Linked DNA regions of Styela clava. The protein of the gene in region 1 purifies or fractionates together with the protein of each later gene. This does not show direct contact. Links are inferred from orthologs where the notes say so. Each region holds a gene or a part of one and is shown in the gene's direction. Other genes may lie near its edges. The genes, in order: nuclear pore complex protein Nup133-like and nucleoporin Nup37-like.

What was found.
Region 2: the proteins of nuclear pore complex protein Nup133-like (region 1) and nucleoporin Nup37-like purify together in Homo sapiens (affinity purification with mass spectrometry; 4 studies listed by BioGRID and IntAct, with this or other methods). This does not show direct contact. The link is inferred for Styela clava from reciprocal best matches to the Homo sapiens genes NUP133 and NUP37.

What each region holds. Positions count from the first base shown.
Region 1 is NC_135253.1:7,609,011-7,616,657, forward strand, and holds the start of nuclear pore complex protein Nup133-like, read left to right. Parts: upstream 1-4,361; 5' UTR 4,362-4,558; coding exon 4,559-4,704; intron 4,705-5,320; coding exon 5,321-5,454; intron 5,455-6,313; coding exon 6,314-6,414; intron 6,415-7,046; coding exon 7,047-7,304; intron 7,305-7,647. Other genes in the region: uncharacterized protein LOC144421998, read left to right, coding at 60-205, 977-1,147, 1,347-1,491, 2,047-2,144. UniProt on the Homo sapiens protein: Involved in poly(A)+ RNA transport. Involved in nephrogenesis.
Region 2 is NC_135253.1:5,428,874-5,436,586, reverse strand, and holds nucleoporin Nup37-like, read left to right. Parts: upstream 1-4,456; 5' UTR 4,457-5,329; coding exon 5,330-6,334; 3' UTR 6,335-6,661; downstream 6,662-7,713. Other genes in the region: tRNA (guanine(37)-N(1))-methyltransferase-like, read left to right, coding at 6,668-6,828, 7,035-7,301. UniProt on the Homo sapiens protein: Component of the Nup107-160 subcomplex of the nuclear pore complex (NPC). The Nup107-160 subcomplex is required for the assembly of a functional NPC.

The sequences.
Region 1 (7,647 bases):
AACTATTTTTGATCAATAAGTACTAAACTGAATATGATAGTTCACATAATTCTATTTAGACAACTGTATTCAACCTATCATAAAAACAATTGGATCATTCTACGTTTCTTTGAGGCATAATATATCAAAGGATCATCAAAATACCATTCATAATGAAGAAAATACAGATTATTGCTTCAGATTATCACAATCTGGGGGAATCATGGTGAGATATACCTAATTTATTTCCATGTTCATTGTATTATGGTTATTTACGATCACTAACATTTTTACTCCATCCAATCATTCATATAAAGTCACCTTCTCCTGAGTTCATACATTTGAGTATGTTATAGATAAAATATCATGAAGGACAGCTTTTTACAGGTATCTTGAAAATGTGATATTAGAGTCAATGTTTTAAGATAGTACGGTAGTTCATTTGCAGTCAGGTAAAAAAATCTTAAATTCTGAAGGTTGCACAACTCAAAACTCACATCTTTCATTTCAGAATCACCACTTGTGGAGTATTATTTTATTTTGTCAATTTTCTAATTATAACTTTTTCAAGCATTTTTTATAATATATTTTTGTTATAAAATTTATTACCTTTTCTAGTTTTTGTTAAATTCGTTCAGTTACAGTTCAGGATATCTTGTAGAGTTGAAAAAACAATTTGAATTCTACTACTAAATGTCTTGTATGGGTTTGCAGTGATGTGCATAAATAGAACAGAACTTTCGATGATAGCATGATGGCTTATGCAATTGATATTGATTAAGGCTTGCTGTACCATTCAATGGCCAGGGTATCCAAATTAATTACTCACAACCAAATTAGGCTGATAATAATAAGATTGGACATTGTGATATCAACTATTTGATTGTTCGCTAACAATCTATTCAAGACCCTAGCACTAAGTATCCACGTGCAAGTACATGTGTGTATAATGTTACGAGTAAAAATATAAACTCAATATCATTTTGTTTTTTTGAAGCATATCAACATTGACCTGACAGTTCTTGCAAAAGTCTATCTCATCGGTCTACTCGGTACAATGAATGGATTCACCAATTCTACAGATATAAATAGCTCTTTTTCAGTAGCTAATATCGTTTATGGGATTGATGAAGAAAACTTATTTGGAATATCTTTTGAAATTAGCCAAGTATGTTATATATATTGCTTGTAGATTTACATATCACTTACTTTCAGCTACTTAATACCAGAGTAGGTATTTGAAATACAATCACTTGCATTTTCTAGAATACTCTACCAAATGACTTTTATGAAAACACAATTGGTACATATAAGTTAATATTTTCTCTTTTATTAAGCATTTTAAATAAATGAATTATATTTTGCAGTTGAGGCTTTTTCACCCACTTGAAATTCCAATAATGACTCAGTTCATTAATATATCGATTGTATATCATGGAATTGCAATTGAAGGCAATGCTGAAACTATATGCTTCAAATTAGAAATAGATGGATGCCCACTTCACTCAGATGGTAAGCTATGGAAATTGTTGACTTTAAGTGAAAGTTTTCAGGGTTGAGTTGTTTGATGATTTGAAAATGTTCTTTGTATGTGTCCATACACTATTTTTGTTATTTAGTTCAAATAGAAGTGGTACATAAAAATAACATATCGCTTCATGACATACACATTTTCTATAAAATCTATCTTTGCTTCCGATAATTAAATTTTCTATTTTGTTATTGTTTGTCACAGGTTATGATATACTCAAGCGTGACAGTGTCAATTTCATATCTGCCGTCGATATACTTGTTGATATAATCCAAGACCTAAACTTTAGGCACCTCAAGTTGTATAGTTTTCATTTCAACTCATGATTAATTGACTATGACTTTATAATGATGTTATAGAAAAGGATAAAAAAGTGGCAGGCAATTACAGTCGCCTGTTCGGCAGTTTCAAATATATAAACTATTTTTAGAATATATTGAGTACAGCAATTCATTATCAGCTCAGTGTGGAGTGAGTAAAAAAGGGGTAGTCTTGATTATATTTCCATTTAATTGATCATTTTGTTTCACTTTTAGATATTGATAAATATCCTCATGGATACTTCCCACCAAGTCCAACTGATGATGAAGATTTGATTACTAAAGACACAGTCACAGTTCATTGTCAAGATTGAATATCTTTTGTAAACACTGATTGATATAATTATGAAAACATGATCATGAACCTGATGAATATATTCTGTATTTCTGAATAGTCTGTTCACAGTATATCTATCATAGCTATTTATACCTCTGAATGCATTGCTTTTCCCAATAAAATGTACTTAAATATATAGTAGCCTACTTTATATATTTTTGCTCGATAGATATGTGTACAGTCTGAAGTTATTGCCCAATGTTGACTTTCCCAATTAGAAATGAGTTGAATTAGAAGTGTATACAATCTACTGATAGAACGAGCGGTAAATATTGATTGGATTGAATTTATTGGAGGCCCACTAGAAAATGCTCTGCGACTCACAGTTTGCCAAACACTGCAGGGGTATTGAGCTATCTGACTCGAGTGCACAAGAGGTTGCTTGTGCGTAAACATTTCGTAATACCTTGAAAAAGGAATAGGCTTGGACCAATGTATCCAAAGTTCTTGTCAAAATTATGGAAGAAACATGCTGGTTTTCACAAAGCGAAAAACATTAAATCAATGTACATCAAAAATGATATTTTTATTGAAAAGGCTTGCATCGGTCGGTAACAAAATCCTTTCATTGGGAATGGATATTAAAATTAGTAATGCATGCTTGCTATTGGATTTGTAAGATCAGATATACAGGAACAAAGTGAACCATAAAAACCCGAGGGAAAGATTTTTGAAGTCACGGATTCCCAGTGGCTAGATAATTCGTGAGCAAGTTCGTAACTGACCAGGTTTAGATATTTATTTTCATTGTGCAAGAATCAATGTAAAGCAATAACCACATATGATAAAGTAAACCTAACAAAATCAAAAAAACATTGACTCATAGCAGTTAATGATGCATGGCGCAAAAGACTCAGAATGTCATCGTGCGTTGCAGAATTCAAGCAGCAAATATTGCAAAGAAACAATTCTATAAGAAAAAATAAACTCGAAATACGCAACCATGTAAAGAACAACTGATCGGTGAAAGTAACCATGCGTTCTAACCATAATGACCATGCTCAAACGCCGAGTGTAAGTACGTTACCAGCATGTTCTCTTGGATCTGTTCCACGTTAGTTAGTCGTTAGTTCCACGAAATGGCATGTGTATTGTATAAACTTGTTATTGTAGAACCGGGGACTTAATTAATGGGCTATTTTTCACAGAATGAAACAAATCAGGTAACGGTATCCAGTTTGGCAATCGTCGCAAAATTTGTAATTAGGTGAGGCAAGAATTTTTCTTGTGATATTTTCTTCCGCCTAAAAATTAATATATTATCTTTTTAAAATTTAATCACGTCTCTGTGGTGGCCAGCTGGGTCCTTGTGATATTTTCTTCCGCCTAAAAATTAATATATTATCTTTTTAAAATTTAATCACGTCTCTGTGGTAGCCTATGTGTGTGCATGAATAATCATTTTAGATGAATGAACAAGTGCGATATACAGACTTTTCGACGAGCTATTTAGACCAAATGTTACCGCCTAATAGGTGACATTATGCGGTTGTGAGTTTGATTTTGAGTCGCCTTGCAAGTTGTTTAAAATATTAATATGGACCACTCCCCAACCTTAAACCCCCGATTTCCCTATACTCAACTGTTTTTTAAAAGTACCGATAAAAAATTTTAGCCTAGTATGTCACAGCTATTTATACATTAATTTTTTAATACTGCAATCAAGTTAAAACTCCTTAGAAGACAGAGTGATCATTGAATTATCTGATTTATATTTAAATTTCCGAAACACAACTGAAAACTAACGAATAGAGTTCAAAAACGCGAAAACAAGGTAATGTTCGCGACCACGCCTAAAAATCTGTGGGAAAAGTGTCTGATCGGATGCGAAAAGGGAGCATGATTGGCCAATGTCACGAAATAAACAAGGAAGTCGATGCTCGGGGAAAGGTCCATAGGATTTCACACACAAATACATATAGATTTATACAAAATTTGAGAATATTTAGGGTTCTGTATGAAATTTTTATAGTCAGAATGCTCTTTCTCATTCTCATTCTTGGTGTTAGCGTATGAGAAAATGAATTTTCTCATTAGTTACCTCGGAGACCCCTAATTCAGATTTTTAAGCAGGCGCGGATTTTATGAAAAACATTGATTTAAAAAGTAATACATTTGTAGTCTAAGTAGATAGCCGTTCTTCAAGCAAAAAGATGTGCCGGCTCAACTTTGCCGGTTATATATCCGGCGCTAATGCGCAAACTATTTTGGATATGCCGTCACAACTGTCTGGCTCGCCGCGCGGGATTGAATTCAAAGGTCTGAGCTATTGTTGTGATGCCGAGATACTGTACCGGTATCTTATTCCTGTATTCGAGTTTCGCCAGCTACCTCCGACTACAGGACTTTAGCATCAGCTATCTCAATACTTGAATATCCCTGTGGACTACAATGTTTACCCCTAGCCGTACGCATACACCTGGTTCAGCTGGGTCCTCGCGAAGACGCTCAGCCGCTCCATTCACATTGACCCCAAGGCGTTCTCAACTGACTGGATCGAAATCATCTCTTGTCAGGAGGTCTGGTTTATATCCAAGGTAGGAAGTACTTCACACACATATATATAGGCTATATATAATCCTTTTAATTTTACATTTATAATGTTTCATTCATCCAATTCTGCAATTGCTGAATTGGTGGCAATTTATAATTAATTCGGTGGACTTGGCCATATATTTTAATATTTTTGCTCATTAAAAAATTGGTCATCTCTCAACCAGCAATAGAGTATTTGAAACTTTGTTGTTTAATTTAATTTTTTGTATCTAATACTGTAATATGAGCCATTATTTTTCAGTAAGTTTTAATGTTATGTAATACTTAAGGGTAACAGGGTAAACTGGCACATGTATTTCTGTGTTTTCACGTGTTAAACCTTTTGAAATGTTTTGCCAGTTTTCAAAATGTTCCCAATCTTTGGTGTGTTCATTATTTTCAAACTTTTGTGTATAATTTTCATGTATGTTGTTTATAATGAAAATAAAAATAATCTGTATTTCACATCAGTTCTAAAATAATGAACTAATAAATAATGGACATCTTCCAGTTCTAAACAATGTATCTTACAAAGTACAGATGCATAGTAATATCATTGCAATGTAACAACTATAAACAATTTACAAATTCTGAACTTGGTGAAACTTCAAATTTCAGGTCATCTCCAGCTGAGAGTTCGATACTTGGATCACCTTCTGTTTCTACTGTTTACAATACGACAAATTATACAGTTGAAACTGCTGGATCATCTTTGCCTGTTCTTGTCAATGAAGCCATCACCCTTGCAGATAGTAAGATGTTTAAACTTGTAACTAGAAGTCTTTTAGTTTTAACTTTTTTCTAGTAACTATTCAGGTTATTGATGAATGAAATACATTTACTTTTATTTACAATTAAAGTGGAGACTGACAAAGTATATAATCATTTTTTTTGTAGAAAATGTGTATTATTAAAAAATTACTAGTTTAAATTACTAGTTAGGCCGATCGTTTTATTTTTTTTTACACCCGCTTTAACATAATGTTGAATTACAGAATGAATTACTATTTATATTGAAATCGAGATAGCGATCGGAAACGCCGACTTATCGATTTAGCGGCGTGTATCCTTCGCTCTGACTCGATAGCGACATCGCATGTTCCATCACTAATTAATTAATAACTCGCTAATTATACGACATAATTCATCCAAAATCAATAGGCGTCTGGTCCGAGATTTGATGTATGCAGATTCAACCTCGCTTTCGTGAGATATCACATAGCATAGGAAAATGTGTCTAACACTTAAACAGACAGAAAAATACCTATCAACATACTTACCGATCGGGATCGATAAGTAACAAGTATTATTGACCAAGTATTACTTGTTTTGTGGCAAGGGTTGAGGAAAATTTTTTTGAATTCGAGGTGTTCCATACATTCAATGAATAGAATGCATTGGCTTGTATATATACAAGATGATTATATCATGTTATTTAAATATTTGCAAACAAGTTGTTTACTGATTTTCTACATTGTTCTAAAATTGTAATGTGAAATGATATTGTGTGAGAATTGTGTAAGAAATATGGAAGAGCCATTTCTAAATTGCCACATCACACTCATGAAATATGATAAAAATAGTGTTAAAAATATTGAATTATTTTTTCAGAATCAGAGCGAATAACAGTTGAAATAAATGACAATGGATGGGCTTGGTTGGTTTGTGGCAGAAAACTTTTTGTATGGAGATTTAAACAAGGAGTTTCAAAGGTATTTCATGTTTTATTTTATGCACAGTTTATGTTATATACTGAAATATTATTCAGTTGTGTTTAATGTAGACATTCTTCACGGGATTTGGTCTTTGTTTTTTTGAACTAGAGTTGATAACTAATATTTTTTGACTTTTCTAAATCTAAAACACAATTTTTTGTGTTCAAGTTTCAAATTTATATTTTTGGCAAGTATTACTTCAAACTTTTGATTAGACACCGGCTTGAAAATAATCTATTTGTTTGTAATTTTGTAGAGTATAATTTTTTCTGAATTTCAATGTTCGCCCTTCTGTCTTGAAACCCTCGATATGTAATTATTGAAAGTGGTATTATACAACGATCTCATCGATATTGATCGAAGTTACGCGATATCTCACGATAAACGAGGTTGAATCTGCTCCAAATTTTGCATATGCATTCATCATATCTCACCAAAAGCCTATTGATTTTGGATGAATTATGTCGTATAATTAGCGAGTTAATAATTGATTAGTGATGGGACACTCGTTGTCGCTATTGAGTCAGAGCGAAGAATACACGCCGCTAGATCGATAAGTCGGCGGTCTCTGATCGCTATCTTGTATGTTCTGTTGGTGTTGAAATTCAGAGTAAATTCTGTTTTTACAGAATGCTCTCTGCAAAGAATTTGCATTGCCACCTCTGAGTTCTTCTGATGGCGAGCATAAGTCCAGTTTAATTTATGTTGGGAAAGCCACCGATTCACCAGATGAAGGAATTGTCAGTTTGCTTGTGGTTACTCCCGCAGGGGGAGTCAGATTCTGGCCAAATATAATTCAAAATGTATCGTCTACTCTTGAAGGAAATTTAGATGGCATTGGTGCTAATTCTTCCGATGAAGAATGCATTAGATTAGCTTCAGTACGGGTGAGTAATTTTGGTTCATATACTTTACTACTATTTATCAAAACTCATACATTACGGTATTCTGTATTATAGAAAATGGGTTATGATAGTGTCAGGTTTAATGATATTCTGAATTTGCTATGTGGAGCTGACCAATGATTTGAATATAGATACTTTTATAACTAGTGGCAATGTAGAACCTTGTAGAACAATAATATATATGTATTGTAGACAAATCCATGTCGTGAAGCTTAACATAGATCTGAATATTGCAAATCCTAGTAACCTGGTTTCTTCGAGCGAGCGGCTAATTTAGGTCTCTAGTAGAACATTTTTTAAATATCTTGCTTCTTAGATTTTACAT
Region 2 (7,713 bases), about 2.2 Mb from region 1:
ATTTTTGCGCGAAGTATAAACTATATTTCGCGCAAATACTAATGCTTTTTATAATATATTTTCGCCTGTTACTTTTCCGACAGATGAGGTTGCTTGAAATATAATTTACCATCTTGCCACAACATCGCTTTTAAAATTTTGAAACGTTTTCTCAGTTTAAGGTTAAATATTCACGCAAAAGAGGAGACAAATAAAATTATTGAAAAACGGTATGCTCGTGGACCTGCGGCAAGAGCTCAAATAAAATAGATAATTTGATATTTTATACACTCCAGATTATTAGATGTTCTTGTAAACTTGATATACGCCGTTATCCTTCATTCCATGCATGTAGTATATTTTTTTAATATTATTTTGGCAATGTACACCTTGTTGAAAATTTGCGATACGCATATTTTAATATCATGACATGTACCGCAAAAATAGTGCAAGATTCTGCAGTATAATTTGTATTGTGGTTCTGTCACTTTGTTAAAATAGATTCTGTGCAAGTAGCGATACTTACATCGGGAATTTTATAATAATTTAATACTAAAATGTGTATCATTTTATTTAATATTTTGGTTCTATTGAGTTGTTGATTTAGTTGGATGACTTTAAACATCTGCGGGTAATTAATTTTTCAGAAGAATGTTCATTCGTTTTGCCATTGCGAAAGTTTGTTCCGAATTATTGAGCATCGTTTTTTTTTAATCAGCTGTTTAACGATCGCAGGTTTAAATCACTTAGTTAGGATCAACGACTAACATACCATGATGCGCAACTAAAGCCTTGACCAATGAGGAGTGTCTGACGCGATACGCTCCATTGCGGCAACTTGATTCGTTAACGCCCACTCGAGTTCCCAGCGTTTTGCTGCAGTTTCACCATATCTGTTGGTCGCATCGGACTCAAGGTATTATATAATCAGTGGCTATTATGGCTAATAAAGGTAAGCCTACCATTTCTATACGTTAAATATATACTATCAGTATGTTTCCATTAGCGGGTGACTATTCAGGGAGCAGTTATCATGTGCTGAGATATGACAGACAGAGCTGCCGAGTTTAAATCCCTGAATCAGATTATGAATTTGATGATATATTCAGACATTACCTGTCTGCCTGTACCGTACTAGATTCATTCATGTTAGAGGATCATAAACTGACATGTATTCATAGATCTTGATGAGTCAATGGAAGAAAAGTTTACCTTGCTGCCTTGAGTGAGCAAAAGTAAGACAGCTATTGAAAAGAGAGTTACAGACAGACAGAGGGCAAAAAGTGTTAGGAGAGATTAATGCAAGACCCCAACAGATCATGCATTCAATTATCTTACCATCAATATATTTTCTGGATTTTATTCTACATACCTAAATGTGATATTTTCATGACAATATTTTTGCTAATAAACAACCTATTCTGAGATTTATAAAAAATAACCTATGTTTTATTTCAAGGTGCTCGACGTGTCAAAAGTTATTATTTTCCAGCGTGGCATCTTTGGCTCAACATATTCACAAACAAGGTAAGATTTACATAATTATAGACCCCTACATAAATTCCATGATTACTAATACAACTTCCACAACTCAAGATAAACATGAAGTGCAGATTTTTTTAAACACCATGGGATGAATCTGTCAAAATAATTTTGAATTTTTTTTATTTTTAGGCAGAGATATTAGTGTGGGGAAGATCATTGCAGCCACTGTCCCTATTTTACCAAATGTGGTCAAATACTTGCAATTGTTGCTGAAGGAAAGTCCTGAGTGATCAAATGTTATCTTTCAGCTGTGATGCAGTTAGCGTTATTCCTCACATTGGAACAGAGTATTCCAGGTTTACTATACCCTCCAGTCTGTCGGGTAATTATTTGATAGATTCACAGCCAAAGAAATGGATAAAACGAAAGGTGTGGTGCTTAATATTTGTCTGGATTTGAGTATGTTTAGATACCATAATTTACGGACAATATGACTAACTGGCAAAAATTGCTTAATTGGGTTTTTATTCATACATAAGGATATAAAACGCAACTGTTTTCTAAGCAATATTGGTTTTGAATGTAGGCAATAAAGCACTACCTGATTCATACATTGTGCGCACTAGCTTAACAGGCGCTTGATCGAATTTAATTTCAAGTATTGACCGTGTTTGATTGACATTCATGGTAATCAATATTGCGATATCCTACTATTACACACCTGTTCCCTATGTTTTCCAGATTTACTGAATTCAAGTTCTATCATATTGAATGACGATGAGGTCCATATAATCCAATACATTGCTGGGTTCATTCTACTAGGAAAGCAAAAACGATGCTAAGACCCCGAAGACTGCAAAAGAATTCAGTCATTATTTTCTCCCGAACCGGACTGTTTGATAACTGACTCTATGATTGCAGTAATGCAGAATATGGACGCTTAACCGTGCCATTGCCCAGTGTCCAAGCTGCTCGAAATTGAATTTAGATTAAACTATGCTCATGAAGATGTTACAGCCACAGTTTTTGAAAATTTTAATATAGAATCATTTGGTATCGCCCAAAACGATACTAGCATGCTGGACATCTTAGAAAAATAAGGTGCCATCAAACAGAATTTATCCCTACGAAAACTACTAAAAAATAAATGTAGATGAAGAGCATGATCTCTTTTCACTTTATTTTGCAAGGTAGTGCGTTTAGATGTCATTCCAGTTTTATTACTTTAGCAGTAATTAAACAAACAATCTATTTTTCATAACAAAATTTTCATTGCAATATAGTATATTTTCATGGCAATAGGCAATGTAAGTTGCATAATAAAAATACGGAATATCTAGAACTCTTTTGTCTCTGCGACAGATGATTTCCAGTTGCGTATTCCTGGAATGAAAATTATTTTCAAGCTAAATCAGTCACTCATCAATGCTATGGAATGGTCGGAGCATTTTTTAGGCGCTCCCGTAGTATGTGTACCAAGATAGCGCACAACCTGATAACCCCAACTTGGTACACATATTACGGGAGCACCCTTTTTTATATCCAAAATTTGGCCAAGTATTCATAATATCAAACCATGCTGACCAAGAGTTCTGGCCCACCTCTCTGCTGCATCAATCTTGCAGCAGTCTTAGATAGCACCTGGGCTGCATATTTGACACACACTTTTGGGTAGCTTTGTAAGCACAAGTGGGATTCCGTCAATTTGCAGGAGTGGAACTCTTTGGATGAAAAAGATGGTACTGCACGAAAATGGTCATCTTTTTTCAATAGGCGAATTCCACCAGCGTGACTCGCAAACACATTATTGCTTACTGTTTTGAGTAAATGAAATGATCAGAACCATTGATACATGTATATGGGAAAGTTAACCTCAAATTATTTAACTCATGGAACATTTTACGGTTTGCACTAAGTCCATCTGTAATAAGCCCCAATCCCACTTCTCCAACACTTTCCCAGAAAATGCTAGCGAGATGGTCTGAGCGGATAACGTCAAGGACTTTGAAAATTACGCAATCAAATCATGTGCATAAACTTGCAGTGCACACGCGCTCACCTTAGAGGGAACACTGCTGCCCATATAAATTTTTCACCGGAACAAACCCGCTTGGATGATGGCAAAAACAGGGTGCAAGATCCACTGACACTATCGCATTGTGGAATGCAACATCAATTACTCTTGTTGATGAGTGATTGTGAATAAATAGCCTATAGCACTATAATACAAATTATGCAATTCTAAAAAAGTAATACAAAAACGTAAAGAAAAAATAAAACGGTTTGACTTTGGAAAAAGAAATTGGTGTTTGGTAAATCTGTGAATACTCTCAGACTATAGTGCTGGTATGTTAGTCGTAAGTAATAATAGTAGAATTATATCTTCTAGAATGGAGGGTGTGTAACTATAAAGATCGTAACCCAGTACCGGACTCACAGAACATAAGAAATAAAGTAGCCTAGGCCCTAGGTTACAATAATCGGGTAGAATATTGCAGTACTGGGGTGGTTCATAGAACGCCAAGTTACCATACCGTACCTGCGTTGTCTTGAGGGGGAAATACTAGTTGAAGCCGAATCTAATCTATCTTGAAATAAACTAAAGAGACCGAGCTTAAGATGGACAACCGGCATTTAATTAAAGTATTGAACCAACTTAATGAAATACTATAGGCTGCTGAGCTAAGAATATAGGCGACAGCGAGATATTTTGTGCACATACCACCCTCTTCAATAATCCCCGAGCAAATCAAGTGACCGCAATGGAGCGTGAAGCTGCAGAAACTCCTAACGCGCATAACTTTGTTTGTTTTATTATTGTGGGCGTGGCTTTCCAGACTAGTTTCATCTCCCTGGTTAGGATCATACAGCGATAGAACTCTGGACACAAAATGGCTGGTGTGACGTCACACGAGCGCTTATAACGTTACCAATGCATGTCCTCACTTGGTTTATAGTCACTTTGGGCGGAACAGTACCGCTTTTTAGCGTCTTGTCCCGCCGTCCCGACAAGTCAGCCATAAGTCGCTCTTTTGCGTTCAGCCTTCCAGCGTAATACACGAACATGTTCTCGTTACTGTTGTTTCTGTGTAGCGCAGCGCTAGCCTACTTACTGAAGGTGAATGGCGTTTGTTTCCCGCTGATTCCCATTAATAGCAGACGTATCGCATGTAAAACCAATACTAATTAGTGTTAGGGTTCCCATCAAATTGTTTAAAATTTCAAGGACGCTAATAAATAATGAAAGAAAAATGTTCCCTTTCTTCTGCGCTGTTTTCCTCTCATCTGGGCTGTTTCTCGCTTTATTCAGTAAGTAGTAAGACTGGAATTATACCTGAGCATTAGTGCTACAGTCTGACAGTGCTAGGAATTGACTGGGAATTTTTCGCAAACAAATTTTAATAATAAATAATTTATTAGACTTAAATCATCACTTTAATTCTCATTTATCAATTTTCGAACGTAATGCTATTGTATTGTTATTGTGTACTGCACGGTATAAAATACTGAAATATGGTTGGAGCGCAATGCTGTAATTTTTCAAAATATTGTACCAAATGCTGAAATGTCAATAATGTTATAGTGAAGATAAGAAACTCTCTTTTAGCAAGGAGAAACATGGAAAAATTTAGAAAACAATGTTCTTACACAAACGAACTCGACATGATATGCAATAACTTATGACTTTTCATAACTCTTTTTTTTTCAATCAAAAAATAACTAATTAAAATCAAACTGTGGAATCAACTCGATGAACATGGATTCAATTTTATTATCTTATTTATTATTTAATTATTGAAAATTTCACTTTGTTGGAACCATAAAAAAAAAAATTAATAATTGTTTGGATTAAAGTGGTGGAAATATGATGAGCACTCACACTGTACATAGTCAAGCTGTAGAAGCACCACCATTCATTAATGCTTTGGAGTTTTGTCCTTTCGAACGTGCATCTAACCTTATAGCAATTGCTAGTAAAGATGGTCTCACAATTGAAAGCTGTGAATTTTCTGTAGAGAAAGAAGCTAATGGTGGCTATGCAAAGCAAATATACAAAAATCTTGTTCATAATAATGTTATACTTCATAAGCTGAGAGTATGCGATCTGAATTGTCTTGCCTGGTCCCCTGTTTCAAATATAAAACATTTGCCAAACCTAATTGTGATTGCTACTGGAACTAAAACTGGAGTGATCAATGTATATACAGCAGATCTGAAGGAAGAAGCTGTGGAAAATTCACTTGAAGGCCATACTGATTGTGTAAATCATATCTCATTTGAGCCAATAGAAGGTCAGGAGCTAGCTTCTGTGAGTGACGATTACTCTTGCAAAGTTTGGGATGTCGATAGTGGTGATGTTATTGTGTCTTTCCCACTTCAGTATCCCGGTGTGAGCGTATGTTGGCACCCTGACCAATCAGGCAAATTGATGGCGGCGGAACTAGGAGGTCGAATAAGATTTTACAATGTACATTTGAAACAGGCAATACTCGCTATTGACTGCAAAAAACACAGCTTAACTTCTGCAGACTGGTGCTGGTTGAATCACAGTAAAGTTGGAGCTAGTGCAGAAATGGAATGGTTTCTTTGGGATATTACAAAATCCTCATATCCACTTGATTCACAGCAAGCTAATTCTGGAGGTTGCAGAAAATTACTCTGGTCTAAACACCACGAAGATGTTTTTCTTACACTTGGTCAACCTCAAAACACTGTAAAAATTTACCATCTAGGTCATCGTCAACCCATTCTTCACAAAGTTCATGAAACAAGCATGTGTGCATCATGGCACAGCACTTTACCTATATGTGCAATAGCTGGAAATAAAGCTATTCATTTCTATGACACGAAAAGTTGTACACAGTTTTGAATATTGTTTAAGGCCCACAAAATTTATATATCTTAGACACTGCCAATTAGTATGTTTCTTATGCTTGTGAGATTGCAAACAAATGTATGTACCAGCGTAATATATTTTCTGGTTTTTGTCATGCAATTATTTTCAACAATTTTGAATTGACTTTATTTTCAACAAAATCATGATTTAAATTTAAAAAAAAAAATTCAAAAATCTTGATTTTCAATACAGATAATTTCTCATTATCTAGAAATCCATCATTATTTTTAATTAGGGTTGAATTAATTCATTGCAGCACATCACTTGATTACTTTTCGATACTTTGTTTTCTATCTCTAGTTCCAGATGTCATTTAGAGTATTAAGATTGGATTCTCTCAAATATTATTTGAAAAAGCGTCTCCGAATCTTTTCTTTAATCATGAATAATGGTGAAACATTCAATCAAAGTGACCAGAATATATTCACACCACCATCTGGTGTGAGAGGAATGGTTGAATTAGACAGGTATGAGATATTGAATGTCTTGTAATGCGTTTTCAAATGTTTCGTAAAAAAACAGAACTACTTAAACTGGCATGTTCATTTGCTATTACTTTGAATGATGGAGATTGTGGACTAAATAACCCCAAGTATATTTTTATCCTTTTGCAATTCATTTATTTATTCTGGAAGCTCTCCTTACATTTTTAATGAATTTTCCGCCATAACAGGTCCGCATTTAAAAAGGAAGTAGATGTCAACACGATACTAGTACCTTTTTCTTCACTCAATAAGTTCCAGAAGAAATTTAAAGAAGACATTCTTAAGAGGAGAGGAGCAAATTTATTGTCTGCAGAAAATTGTGAAGCTCAAAAAAATGCTAAATTTGTTGTAATGAAACAAGACTTCAATTTCAAATCTCTTCCAGAATTCAAACAACAACTTTTAAACGATTTACAAATTGAATCAAGATTTTACACTAACAAGTTGGAAATAAGGTTATTATATCTTTGAGCAATGATATTTTGTTATAACTTCTTATCTAATAAACAATAAGTTTACTCAAGCGTTATACTGTGCTAGACCATCTAGACCATTGATTTATTTTGGCGTGTGGTATTTAATTTTGTTATCAATTGCTATAAATAATATTAAGTTATTTGATCTTATTTAAAATCATATTCAAAAGTCTTAAATCTCTGTGTAAACGGATCTCATTTATTAAATCAAGAACCTTCTTTGTATTTCGAATATCACACAATTTCAATATTAATGATTCCTGACATTTTCTGAATTCAAATAAATATAGATACTGTATTAAGTAAGGTAGGATTTTCTTTTTTATCCTGATTTAGAGAGAAGCTAATAAGATGGCTTAATGATATAGTCAACCACGGCTGCATAGTGAAC